Alligator mississippiensis: one gene and its partners. The main gene of each other region encodes a partner of the protein of the gene in region 3 in a complex. Links are inferred from orthologs where the notes say so. Each region holds a gene or a part of one and is shown on either strand. Other genes may lie near its edges. The genes, in order: STRN3, PDCD10 and STRIP1.

The links.
Region 1: the proteins of STRIP1 (region 3) and STRN3 are in contact, whole or in part, in a cryo-EM structure (PDB 7K36), measured with the Homo sapiens proteins. The link is inferred for Alligator mississippiensis from reciprocal best matches to the Homo sapiens genes STRIP1 and STRN3. Residues at the interface, in NP_149079.2 of Homo sapiens: Arg441, Ile445, Tyr447, Leu449, Thr455, Val456, Val457, Gly458, Leu459, Arg491, Ser492, Pro493, Leu494, Ser495, Phe792, Leu793, Pro794, Val795, Asn797, Cys798, Leu799, Val802; in NP_001077362.1 of Homo sapiens: Thr64, Pro66, Gly67, Leu69, His70, Tyr71, Gln73, His74, Val88, Glu89, Ala91, Glu92, Ala95, Arg96, Phe99, Leu100, Glu103, Gly106, Gln107, Leu110, Asp113, Leu114.
Region 2: STRIP1 (region 3) and PDCD10 share a complex: the UniProt entries of both Homo sapiens proteins name them as parts of the core of STRIPAK complex. The link is inferred for Alligator mississippiensis from reciprocal best matches to the Homo sapiens genes STRIP1 and PDCD10.

The regions. Positions count from the first base shown.
Region 1 is NC_081825.1:253,307,119-253,310,863, forward strand, and holds the start of STRN3 (striatin-3), read right to left. Parts: upstream 2,458-3,745; 5' UTR 2,283-2,457; coding exon 1,992-2,282; intron 1,954-1,991; exon of another isoform or gene 1,832-1,953; intron 1-1,831. UniProt on the Homo sapiens protein: Calmodulin-binding scaffolding protein which is the center of the striatin-interacting phosphatase and kinase (STRIPAK) complexes.
Region 2 is NC_081830.1:73,258,505-73,262,249, reverse strand, and holds the start of PDCD10 (programmed cell death protein 10), read left to right. Parts: upstream 1-809; 5' UTR 810-900; exon of another isoform or gene 901-905; intron 906-3,745. UniProt on the Homo sapiens protein: Promotes cell proliferation. Modulates apoptotic pathways. Increases mitogen-activated protein kinase activity and STK26 activity. Important for cell migration, and for normal structure and assembly of the Golgi complex.
Region 3 is NC_081837.1:34,620,900-34,624,644, reverse strand, and holds the start of STRIP1 (striatin-interacting protein 1), read right to left. Parts: upstream 2,792-3,745; 5' UTR 2,758-2,791; coding exon 2,551-2,757; intron 1,495-2,550; coding exon 1,425-1,494; intron 810-1,424; coding exon 735-809; intron 1-734. UniProt on the Homo sapiens protein: Plays a role in the regulation of cell morphology and cytoskeletal organization. Required in the cortical actin filament dynamics and cell shape. Part of the striatin-interacting phosphatase and kinase (STRIPAK) complexes.

The DNA of each region.
Region 1 (3,745 bases), on a different chromosome or scaffold from region 3:
TAACAGCACTTGGTGACCAAAAGACTGCAACACCAAACATAAGTAAGCACTGGAAACAATTTTTTTTTAATTAAATCTTTCATTCCAGTGTCCATCAGATCAAATAGGCCAGATAAATATATAGTATAGTAACAAAAAGGAGTGGGTTATTACAGGTAGCCACCTCTCCATTTACCAGTATATCTCCACATTCTCTGTCATTTGCAAAGCATCCCCCATCCATGCACTTTTATTTGTACAGAGGAAAATGAAAAGAACTCATTAGTTTCATTCTGGGAGTAAGAAAATGCCTGCATTCTTAGAAAGAAAAGATGACAGCAATAAATTGACTCCCCTACACAGGTCAGTAAGATGCTCTGATCTCACAACAGTACTTGTTTTTCATTTATTTCTACGAAGTGTCATTTTCAAAGAAACATGGATAGCGAGTTAATTGAAATCAGAAAGAATCTGTAATAACTGAAAAAGTGTCTGTAGAATAAACTGAAATGTCAGAAGAAGGGAACCACACAATCAAGAGTGGCTAAGAACCTAATATTCATGTGTCAGTATTAAATACAAGACCTCAATCTTTCAAGGACTATTGCGGGTGGCTTAATTTTATGTAGGTGAGTAACCTCATAAGCCTGAAAGGTCAAAAGGGTCTGCACAATTAGGGACCAAAAAAAGAGAAACTGTTGCTATTTACAGCAAAAACTGGATCTTTACCATATATTATGACATGAGCCCCACTATAATGTTAAAATAGTGGTTTATAAATATAACCCCCCCCTTCAACAAAATATATGTAATTTCTGTAACACAAACCAACCAAGCTCTAGAAGTCAATCATAAGAGTCAATAGCCACAAGTTTTCAGTCTGATCATGTTTGCAGTAAGTTATTGTATTGAAATACAGTATTAGCACTGCTGAAACACAGGAAACAAGACGCACAGTTAAGTGCCCTGCCACTGTCCCAAGTTAGTCCTACTTCAAGAACTGAGTTAACGCTGACCAAACTAGCTCCAGAAGCAACTGGGTCCCAAAATTTACTTCACTTACAGTCTTTGTTATAACTGGGCAGTGGGGTGCTGTTTTTATTATTACTCCAGTGATACTGAATCAAGAGTACTAAGTACATGATGCACCCATTATACTAGAGCTGAGAAATCTGGTGACAGGAGCTGCTGCTTTGAAATTTAAATGCTTTATAAATCACAATCAAACAGTGTTGCAATATGCTCTAATTGGAAGGGGGTGGGGTTGGGTTTTTCTTAAAACAGCAAATTTCTGACCTACTGCTGCAAGCCATAAATACATCCAGGTACAATTATACACAGCAGATCCCTTAAGCCGGTTTCACTACAAAGAGAAAACTATTTCACTGGGACACGCTGCTCTCTCCATATTTTCCCCATAACTAAAATGCTTTTCTATGCACTTATAAAAGGGAGTCCAAATCTGCCCACCCCCTCCAGGACCAGACTGGGATCTCGGACAGCAAACAGCAGCGCTATTTCCACATGCCCAAGTCATGAGGAAGGTAATTCCTTCCCCTCACTCCAAGGAAAGATGAGAAACCGCCTCCCTCTGCTGGAACCAGACTCGGGGGCTTCACAAGGCCCGGTGCCATGGGCCAGCTGCTGACAACGGGCCGGAGGCGACCCCGGGGGGTGAAAGCCCCCTCGCCTCGCCCCCGCCCGGGGGCAGCCGCCGTCCCGGGGACTCCCCCTTCCTTGCGGAAGGAGGGGAAGTCTCCCTGCCGCGGCCCCCAGAGCCCCCGCGTCATTGTGCTCGGGGCGAGGCCCGCAGCTGTCAGGGCGCGGGAGGCGGGGGCGCTGCCCGGGCCTGCAGGCGGGGCGCGGGCTGCGAGCCGGCAGCCCAGGCGGGCGCCATGCTAGCAACCAAAATGGCTGTCCCGGGCACAGCAGCCCCGCGCAGGCCGTGAGGAGCCGGGCCGGACGCGCCACCAGGTACGGTACCGCACCGCGCCGCGCCTCTCCCCGCGTACCTGCAGCTCGGCCCGCTCCACCTCCCAGTGCGCGCGCTCCATCTCGAAGCGCGCCCACTCGTGCTGGATGTAGTGCAGGATGCCGGGGATGGTGTAGTGCTGCGGCCGCGACAGCTCTGCGCCGCCCGCCGCCTCCTGCCCCGCCGGCGCCGGCGCCGCGCCCGCCTGCCCTCCCCCGGCACAGCCCCCGCCGGCCGCCAGGCTCGCGCTGCCCGCGGGCGGCTGCTGCGGCGGCGGCTGCGGCCTCGGAACGGCCGCCATCCCGCCGCCGGCGCCGGGGTGCTCGTCCATTGTCTGCGGGGAGCCTCCTCCTCCTTCGGGTCCGGCGGGCGGGGCGGGGCGGGGCGGGGCTGGCTGGTGGGGGGCGGCCGCTGCGGGCGGGGGCGGGGTGGGCCGGGCCGGGCTGGGGCAGCAGGGGGAGGCGGCGCCGAGCGGGGTGCGAGTGTCAGAGCCGCGCCGAGCCGCCGCTGCCGCCGGCCGCCATTACAGCCGCGAGCCCTCGGCCTGACTAGCCGCCCACTGCGGAAGGGGGGGGGGGGGGACGGGCGCGCGGGGCACGCCGGGAAACCACCCCCTCCGCGCGCGCCGGACTGCGCATGCGCAGCTGAGCGGCCCGGTGGGGGCGCGGGCCGCTGGCCGTGGTCTCTAGGGCAGGGGCCTGGCGTGCGGGGGCGGAGCGGCCGCCCCTCCCCCCCCCGGCAGCCGCATTCCTCGGATGCTTCCGCTGGGGCCGCCCCAGCGCTGCGCTTCCCCGGCTGCGTGCGGGGGCTGGGAAAGGCCCCACGTGTGAGCGGTGCCTAACGGCCAGTCCCGCGTCGTTTCTTTCTGAACCAGAGCAGCCCCGAGTGTGCGCGTCTAAACCTGCCTCGTGTACCCACCTGCGCCGCGATTTGGGGGGTATACGTCTGTACCTGTACAGGAACATAGATAAAAGACATCAAGTTATCTAAAGAATTTTTTCTGGCAAAAATCTTGTTGGTCTAATATACCTCTGTCCACGAGTCAAGTTTTCTATAAAGAGATTGTGTTATCTGTCATCAAGATCTATAGATAGATTCATATATCTTTTTATAAAATAAAGATGGAAGATCTCTTTATTAGTTATAAAGATTAGCTCGATTACAAATTTTTCATGTGTGATCATGGCAGGTTATATTTTTTATTTGTATTTCGTTTTGAAAAATGTGGGCAGTTTTTCAAGCAAATGACTGACTTGCCAGAGAAATCAAAGCACCACGCAACTCCAATGCTGGTTGTAGATCTGCCAGGACAAAAAAAGGACATGGAAAAACATTTTTTTTTTTAAGTATTGCCCTTATTAACAAAGGACTATTCTTTTTTTCCCCCAAGAAGTAATTTAAAAACCTCTCCTTCATTATTTTGTAATCTTTCCTTAATCCGGGGTCCTTTCCCCAGGGAGAAAGTCTTGCAAATATTTATCACCATGCTTTGATTGGTTTCCCTGCGAAACTGGTAGCAAATTCCAGTTTTCTTCCTTATTACTTATGAGATGTATGCTATCTTCAGTCTAAATCAGGTCAGACTGTCACAGATTCATTGCCCTCAATTTCAGCAGTAATGACAGGCATATAAAGACAAATTAATTTCAGCTATCACCTCCTGCTTGAAAAAAATTGTCACCCATAATTAAATGAAAGAGGGTGTGGTTTCATCTTTCCCACAAACATATCTTTAATAACAGTTTCTTAAACAGGTTCTTTTACTAGGTGAATCAGAAATTGTATCAGTTGCTC
Region 2 (3,745 bases), on a different chromosome or scaffold from region 3:
AACAAGACCGAGATCTTAAACAGCGACCAGGAGTGTGGAAAGAGCTTCTGCAAAACCGGATTATTAGGCTGGGAAGACAAATCACATTTTAACAGGAGGGCTCGGGCGCGTTGCTCAGCGCAGGGGCGAGGAATAAGCTGCGTTGGACCCAGAGGCAGGGGCTTGTTTCTCCCCCCGGGCTCGGGCAGGGGGAGGTGGGTGTGGATCTCCACTGCTCCAGGAGAGCCCGAGGGGCACTTTTGAATAACGCCTTCAGGCTAAAGCTTTGCAAGGGTGGGGGGGGAAAGGTGCCAAAATAAATAAATAAATACATACATACTTAATTAGGGCAAACAACCCCCAAATTGGAGAAGCGCTACAAATTAATAATAATAATAATAATAATAATAATGAGCATCGCGGAACGGCGTGGGACACATGCACTCCCTCACTCACTCACCCGGAGCGGAGCGGAGAGGCTGGGCTGGGCTGCGCGCGGCTCCGCGGCGGCTCGGCTCTGGTGGCTCGCTGCGCGCTGGCCGCGACTCGCGGACCGCCTTAGGGGCTGATTCGACTGCGTCCGCCAACGCCTGCCTTGCCTCACGCCTCCCCAGCCCCTCTCGGGGCCACGCCCCCTTCTCAGGGCCCTCGCGCCCATTGGTCGCTCCTTCTCCGCCTTCTCTTCCAGCCCCGCCCCTTTCCTCCTCCTCCTTCCCCCGCCCTGCCGCGCGCGCGGCATGATGGGATATGTAGTCCCGTGGCGCGTCACTACAGTTCCCAGGAGCCCGCGCGGTACCCGGCGAGTTCCGGGCAACGCCTGGTGTGTGGTAACCGCGGCCGCCGCTTCCTACTCGGCAGGCACTTCCGGCGCGGCGGCGGGGCCCGCGCTACAGCTGGGAAGGCTCGGAGGGGCGGGGGGAGGTAAGGTACGGGACGTGGGGGCGCGCCGGTGCTTTGTCCCCCGCCCTCTCCTCTCTTTTCCCCGGGCCCGCTGGGGTCGCTGCGGTGTTTGCGTAGGGCCTGGCGGCTCCGCCGAGGTTACGCTGCTCTTGGGGCGTAAAACTCCTTGGAGAATCGGGGCCCGGTTGAAGGGTGGGGGCGGGGCGGGTGCTGCGGAGGTGCCCGCGCCCGTCCCCGTTCCCGTCCCGCTCACACTGGGCCCGGGTTCCCTCAGCGGGAGGGGTGTGGGGGAAGGGGAAAGCGAAAACCCCTCCTTTGTTGGTGCGGCACCTCCCGCAGGCCGGGCCCGGAGCGAGGGCGGCGGACCTGCCCTTCCGGTGTCAGCCGGGCTGGGGCGCCCCCGGGTGCAGCTCCTTGTGCGGGCTGACTGAGCCCCGTCCTCCCGCAGAGAGGTGCCGAGCCCCGGGGTCGCTGCCGGGAGGCTCCGCTCACATACCAGCCCCAGCTTGGGGTGCAGGAGGGGCCCGGAGTGAATCTCAAGAGGCCTGAGGAGGCCGCCGACCAAAATAGACTTGGCAGAGAAACTGGGGGGCGCTGTCACGAGGGGGTTTGCCTGGCAAGCAGTCTAGTTGCTGGGGTTGTGATCCTGGCTACTTCACGGGTAGGCAGCTCTTCAATTTGTCTGATGTAAGAAATCGGAGCCCAGCCCCAGAGGGCAGGTTCTGGCGTCTTGCATCCTCGCTAGGCGTAGTAATGAGGTAGGGTGGAAAAGGGCTGAATCCCTGACTGCGTGTAGGGTGAGGGGTTTCTGACTCGGGAGGAGTGACTTGCAAAACTCATGAGGTTCAAAATGGATTCGGATTTAGAAAAGTGGGTGGCTTGAGCGTTCTCCCAAGTGGCTTTTTTTCCCCTGTGACCTCTTAGTTTAGCTTCTGAAGTAGTGGCACCCAGCCATATACAAAATAACTAAATGTATGTGCATGGACAGTCATGTTTTTATAGGAGTAGAGTTGCTTGTTTTCATCTTTCTATATGAATATACCATTTCACAGGCTGTGCAAGTAGCAGTGTAGTTAAGAAAAGCTTTTGGGAAAGCTAAACTTGAATCAGTAATTTTTTTGCTACTTTTTTTTTTTTTTTAAGCTACTTTCAATGTTAAGTAAGGGAAAGTGTAATCCATACAACCAAGACCATGTGGCTTTTTTATTTTTTCCCTTAACCTCTACCTGTCTAGACTGGCCAAGTTCATTATGTTTTTGCAGTAGTAGTAAATTCCTCTAATGTTAACTTAAGTGGGTGGTCTGGTGTTTTTTTTTTTTTAATGCTAAACAAAAATCTAATCAGCCTGATCATAGTGATTTGTATCCCTTCCTTTTTCTTATATGATTCATTGTTGACAAATGGTTTGAAGGGTGTTTGAAGTCATCTTGTAGATCAGGGGTGGCCAAGCTGTGGCTGAGGGAGCCTCTGTATGGCATGCAGCAGATCGGGGAGGGAGCAGGGAACATTGTGATAGGGCGGGGAGCAGGAAGCACTGTAGCAGATCAGGCAGGGGAAGGAGGTTGGAGTGGCACTTATGGTGGGTGTGGGGCTTTCCTTGTGGCATGCCTGCTAAAGTTTGGTTCCCACTATTGTACACTAGTGGAAAAAGACCACTATCATTATGGGAAGGTCAATGAGTATTGTCAGTTGCCATGGCAGTCAGAAGAATGCAAAATTATGTTTTGGGTGGAATCGTATTTGAACTCCAGCTTCTAGGTTCGTAACACCAAGTTCTTGCATCTGATCATAACTCCCTTTAGAGGGGCACGTGAAAGGGTGATGTTTTCTTCTGTGCGTTTCCTCGAATTTTTGCTTATAGTTTCAGTAACCACAGGTAGAACTTGCGTTATCCACCCCAAGTATCTAATCTAGTTCAAGTATCCATCTGGATGAAGTACCTTGGAGCAAGGTGAGAGCAGGAAGTCTTCTGCAGGCCCTCCAGAGTGCTGAGGAAGGTCATTGGACGAAGACAAGAAATTATATTTAGGTACCACTTTGCACTTGTCCCTGGGACCTGAAAGACTCAAGGTGGCTGTTTTCTTAATTGGTGAGACAAAGTCTCTTAAGTGGTAGCAAAGGAGCAGATACCACGTTTTATCTGTTTTAGCAGCAGGATTTTTATTTTATGCATACCTTGTATCTTTCCCCAGTGGTGAAATGGCTTTTGAACTAAAATTGATTTAAAAAAAAGAAAATAAACAAAAATCTAAGGTATGTGGTGGTAGGTGGAATATTAGTACATTTTGTCCTAAAAACAAACGGGTATAGGTGGGCCATAAGTTGCAGTGCATTACTCAAATGTAGCACAGGTGCCTGAGTTAGTTTTCCATAAGGAACAAGGGCCTAATAGTGTAATGTAGCGCTTCCCGAACTCTGACACATTGCGCACCACCAATTTAAAACAATACAACCTTAAGTACCAGCAATTTTTTGTCATGTAAAGTAATTATAATAAATCTATTAACACGTACCGCTGACAAGTTGTCTGCGTTATAATCTTACATTACGTTGTGAGTTTTATATAGAAGTGGCATATGATGAAAGCTAACCACATTTTGCTGTTTTTCATAGTCACAAACGTTGCCACGTATACAAGTGACTGTCAACTGCTTTCTGTTCAGAAACTTGTATTAGTCTGGAGGTGGCCTGCATCTGTTAAATTCTAAGTTGTCTACCTCCATGAACGCAAAATGGGATCCTACATAATGAATACTAATTTTTCCTGGTGGAGTTTAGGCCTCATCCTTACCACTGCGCTAGAGATCTTGGAGTTTTTTTTTCAATACAGCCTCCTTTCAGGGAAAGTAGGGAATATTACATTGTT
Region 3 (3,745 bases):
CCTGGAACAGAATATAAACATATCTGATCTGCTAGAGGTCACACTGAGGAGACTCACTAATGCCAGCTACTGCAAGATCAGATTAATGAGACTTATCCTTTGAAATACACATCAGCTACAACCAGAAATCAGTAGAGTCTAATAGCTGGTCAACAGTAGGTCAGGCTTCCCAAACTGTCTGGGTCTTGTACCATAGCATGGATAATAAAAGTTAATACTAGGTCATTACTGCTGCCCTTAACATCAGCTATCCAACAACTTAAGAGAAACTGCAGAATTGTTCTTCCTTTTTCCCTATTTATATTTCCCTTTTCCTTTCTCTGCTTGCCCATTCCTCCCTTCACATGCCCTCTAGGAGTTTGCCACATGCCCTATGAGATACAAGTATCCCAGTTTGAGACCAAAAGGCATAGGTAAAATAAGTTGATTGTTCATAGTGCCTTCCACAGCCACAATTGGCACTAACTGTCCACCACATTTAGAGAGATAAATTACTGAATGAGCCAGAAACAATGTGCTCATCGGTGAGGTACATTAGCAAGGTGTCCCTTGGATAGAGACAATATTTGCCAGCAAATACTATAAGTTGTAAACCAAGTAAGGGATGTTTGTAGTCAGTTCCTGCCCTGACACAGGGATAACACATCAGTACTTGCATCTCCTCATGAATGTTCTACAGGTGACCCTAAAACCTATGAACAGGGGACAAGAAGGGAAGAATAAACTTATCTTACCATGGACCCTAAAGTCTTCCTCAAAGCACTTTCGGTTCAGCTGGAATTCTGGGCCTTCAGTGTAGCTGTACAGTTCTGCCAACATACCATAAACCGTGTCTGGTTGTTGTCACTTTTCTTTCAGCATCCCCCCCAAAAAGTACTTCTCAAAGACTGCCTATGGTAGTCACGTAACAAACAGGCACAGAACAGAACTCAATCCTAAAGCTCCTGACAATCAGATGTGTTTTTTTCTTTTCTTTTTTTTTTTTTTAATTTTTTTTTTTAAGGTCCCCATCACTCACATTTCACATAATCAAGAGTTTAATACAATAAAAAAACCCAGGGCATTATGCAAGTGAAATTTAACATGAAAACTTTTGATGGTTAAAACTATTATTGCCAAACTAAAGATGTCTTTAAATTAAGAGATAAGATATTTTTGCCTAGAAGTACTTGTAATCCAAACAGCAAAGCAACTGTTAGGATGACAACCAAAAACCCAATTAAAAAGAAAGAAAAAGACGCACTCAAACGGAACCAACAGTTTCTGTTGTCCGACTCAAGACAAATAAAACACAGCATATGGCAAAAACTATGGTTCAAAATAGCATTAGCTTTACTATACACAACACCAAGATGCAGCTAAAGATGAGTGCATAGCAAAATACAACTTTTCTTTAGAGATCAAGAGGGATTAAATTCCCTTACCAGATAACTCCGCAGCCCATTTATCGGTATCTGCATATTCAAACTCCAAGTCTGGGGATTCGGAATAGCCCTGGTGACAGAAGGAAAATTCACTTTTAAACAAAGCACGTTTCATTAAAAAGCATCAGTAAATCAGTCAGAACAATAAAAGTTAACCCCCTGCTGCAGGCTCATGCTGCATCTTCAGCCGAACACCCGGCATTTATCAGCAGATCTTAAATGTTTCTGAGGCAACCTGCTGTGTATCCCCCGTCTTCTGGGCTGATGTAATACTGATCGCTCTCTTGTGTAACCTTGCTCTGCGCTGCTGCGCGCAGCCATACGTGATCTCTACACACAACTGGCCTCAAGACAACTTGGGGGGTGGGGATCTCCTCAAGTGAAAATCACTGTGTAAAACAGACAGAACCTCTCGTTTAATCCTAGCATTAAAGGTCTTGACCACAGGGGCCTCAGAGACCGCATTGATGTCGGACAGCACGAACCCCTGCAGAAATGCATCGCTGGGATGTCACGTGCAGGAGGGCCCTCCACGCCAAGTAAGAAACAGACAAAAACAAGAAGTCCAAGAACACGGGGAAAGTGCCCGAGTGCAGGGGGGGAGAATAACAAGCCAGCGAGACGCCGGAGTTGCTTTAAACCACCTGTCACAAGAAGAAAGGATCATCCCGCGCCTTTCCAAGGGGAAAGAGAAAGCTCTTCCTCGGGACTTCCTCAAGACACAGCCTTAATCTCCTGAGAAGAGGCTCTTCGGCCGGCCCTAAGGCAAGCCTCCGGCTTTGAGAGCCTTTGTGACCCGTCACAACCCCCCCCCCCACCCCCGCTGGGAGCTCCTCCGTCTCCATCAGCTCCTGGGAAGGAGGCGGCATTTTCTTCTTTGAAAGACGGTGATCCGTGTCCCAAGCAGCACAGCAGATGCGACTCGGAAACGACCTGCCTGCGGGGCTGGGAGGGGACATGGCGTCCAGCCCCGGCCGGGCCCCCTGCACCACCCATCGGGGCCCCACCCGACCAACCCCCTGCCTGCCACAGGGACGGGCACCGTAGGGGGTGTCAACACACGCGAGACGTGGGGGCACAACCCCCTCCATGCCCGTCTAGCCCCGACCCCAACCCCTCCGCTGACCTCCGAGTCCTTGCGCTGGTTGCGGTTGAACTCGCGGCCCTTCCCGCCTGCCAGGCCCGGGCCCTGCGCTGGGCCTGGGCCTGGACCTGGACCTGGGCCTGGACCCGGACCAGGCCCCGGCCCCGGCCCCGGTGCCGGTGCCGGGCCGCTGCGCGGCTTGTTGTTGGCCGCCAGCGGCCCCGGCCCCACGAAGCCGCCAGGCTCCATCTTGGCACCGCCTCACCCCCGCCCCCCACTCCGAGCCCACATCTCGCGAGCTCTCACCGGCTGCTCTCGCGAGAACTGCAGGAAGAGCCGAGGAGCCGCCGCCATGCTCGATGCCTCGCCAAGCCCCGCCCCCCGCCACCATGCCGGGTGTGGCTACCAATGGAACATAGCTCCGCCCCCCCAGCGGCCATGCTGGATGTGACCGCCGCTGATGGGCCCCGCCCTGCGCGGCCATGCTGGGTGTGGCCATCAAGGAGCTTCTTCCCCGCCCGGGCGGCCATATTAGGTGTGGCCATCTCAAGCTAGAGCACAGAAAGCGATTTAAACTCATCCCGGAGCCCAGTTGAGGCCTGAAGGCGTCATGGCCTGGTCCCAGCTGCCAAAGCACCGTCATTAACGCCGGGGAAAACGAGGCACAAGTGGAGGAAGTGATACACCCAAGGCTGAACAGGAAACAAGTGGCAGAGGAAAGCACCCCTTTTGTCCCCAGGCCCCAGCTAGTGCCAAAGCCTCCAAACAGCTTCCCCAGGGTACCTCTAGCCCCTGCAATTGCTTCCACCAGGGGGAAAAAAAAAGCCCCTGTATTAATGGTTCAGGAACGTATTTGGTAGTCGTAATGGTCTGAGACAAAAAGAAATGCAAACATCTCATCAGGCTCTGGGCAAATTCAAGATGGGGACAGGCCTTTGAGCCCGAACACTTGCAGAAAAAAGAGAATTTTTTTTGCGGTTTCTTAGTTGGGCTAATAAAAGGTATCATTTCTGAACCAACAGGTCTGTATTCTTGTATTCGCGAGGGGCTCTGGTAGCATTAAGGACCTGTCTCAGCAGGGGAAACACCATGACTATGAAGTGGCTTTCCCACTGGCCTCCCACTTTCACTTCCAGTGGGAAGATCTCAGATACACGCCAACTTTATGGAAATAGGGGACTCCTCCCTAGCTTGCTCTTGCGGCCATATGGCCGAGGGCAAGCAAAACTCGGGGGCA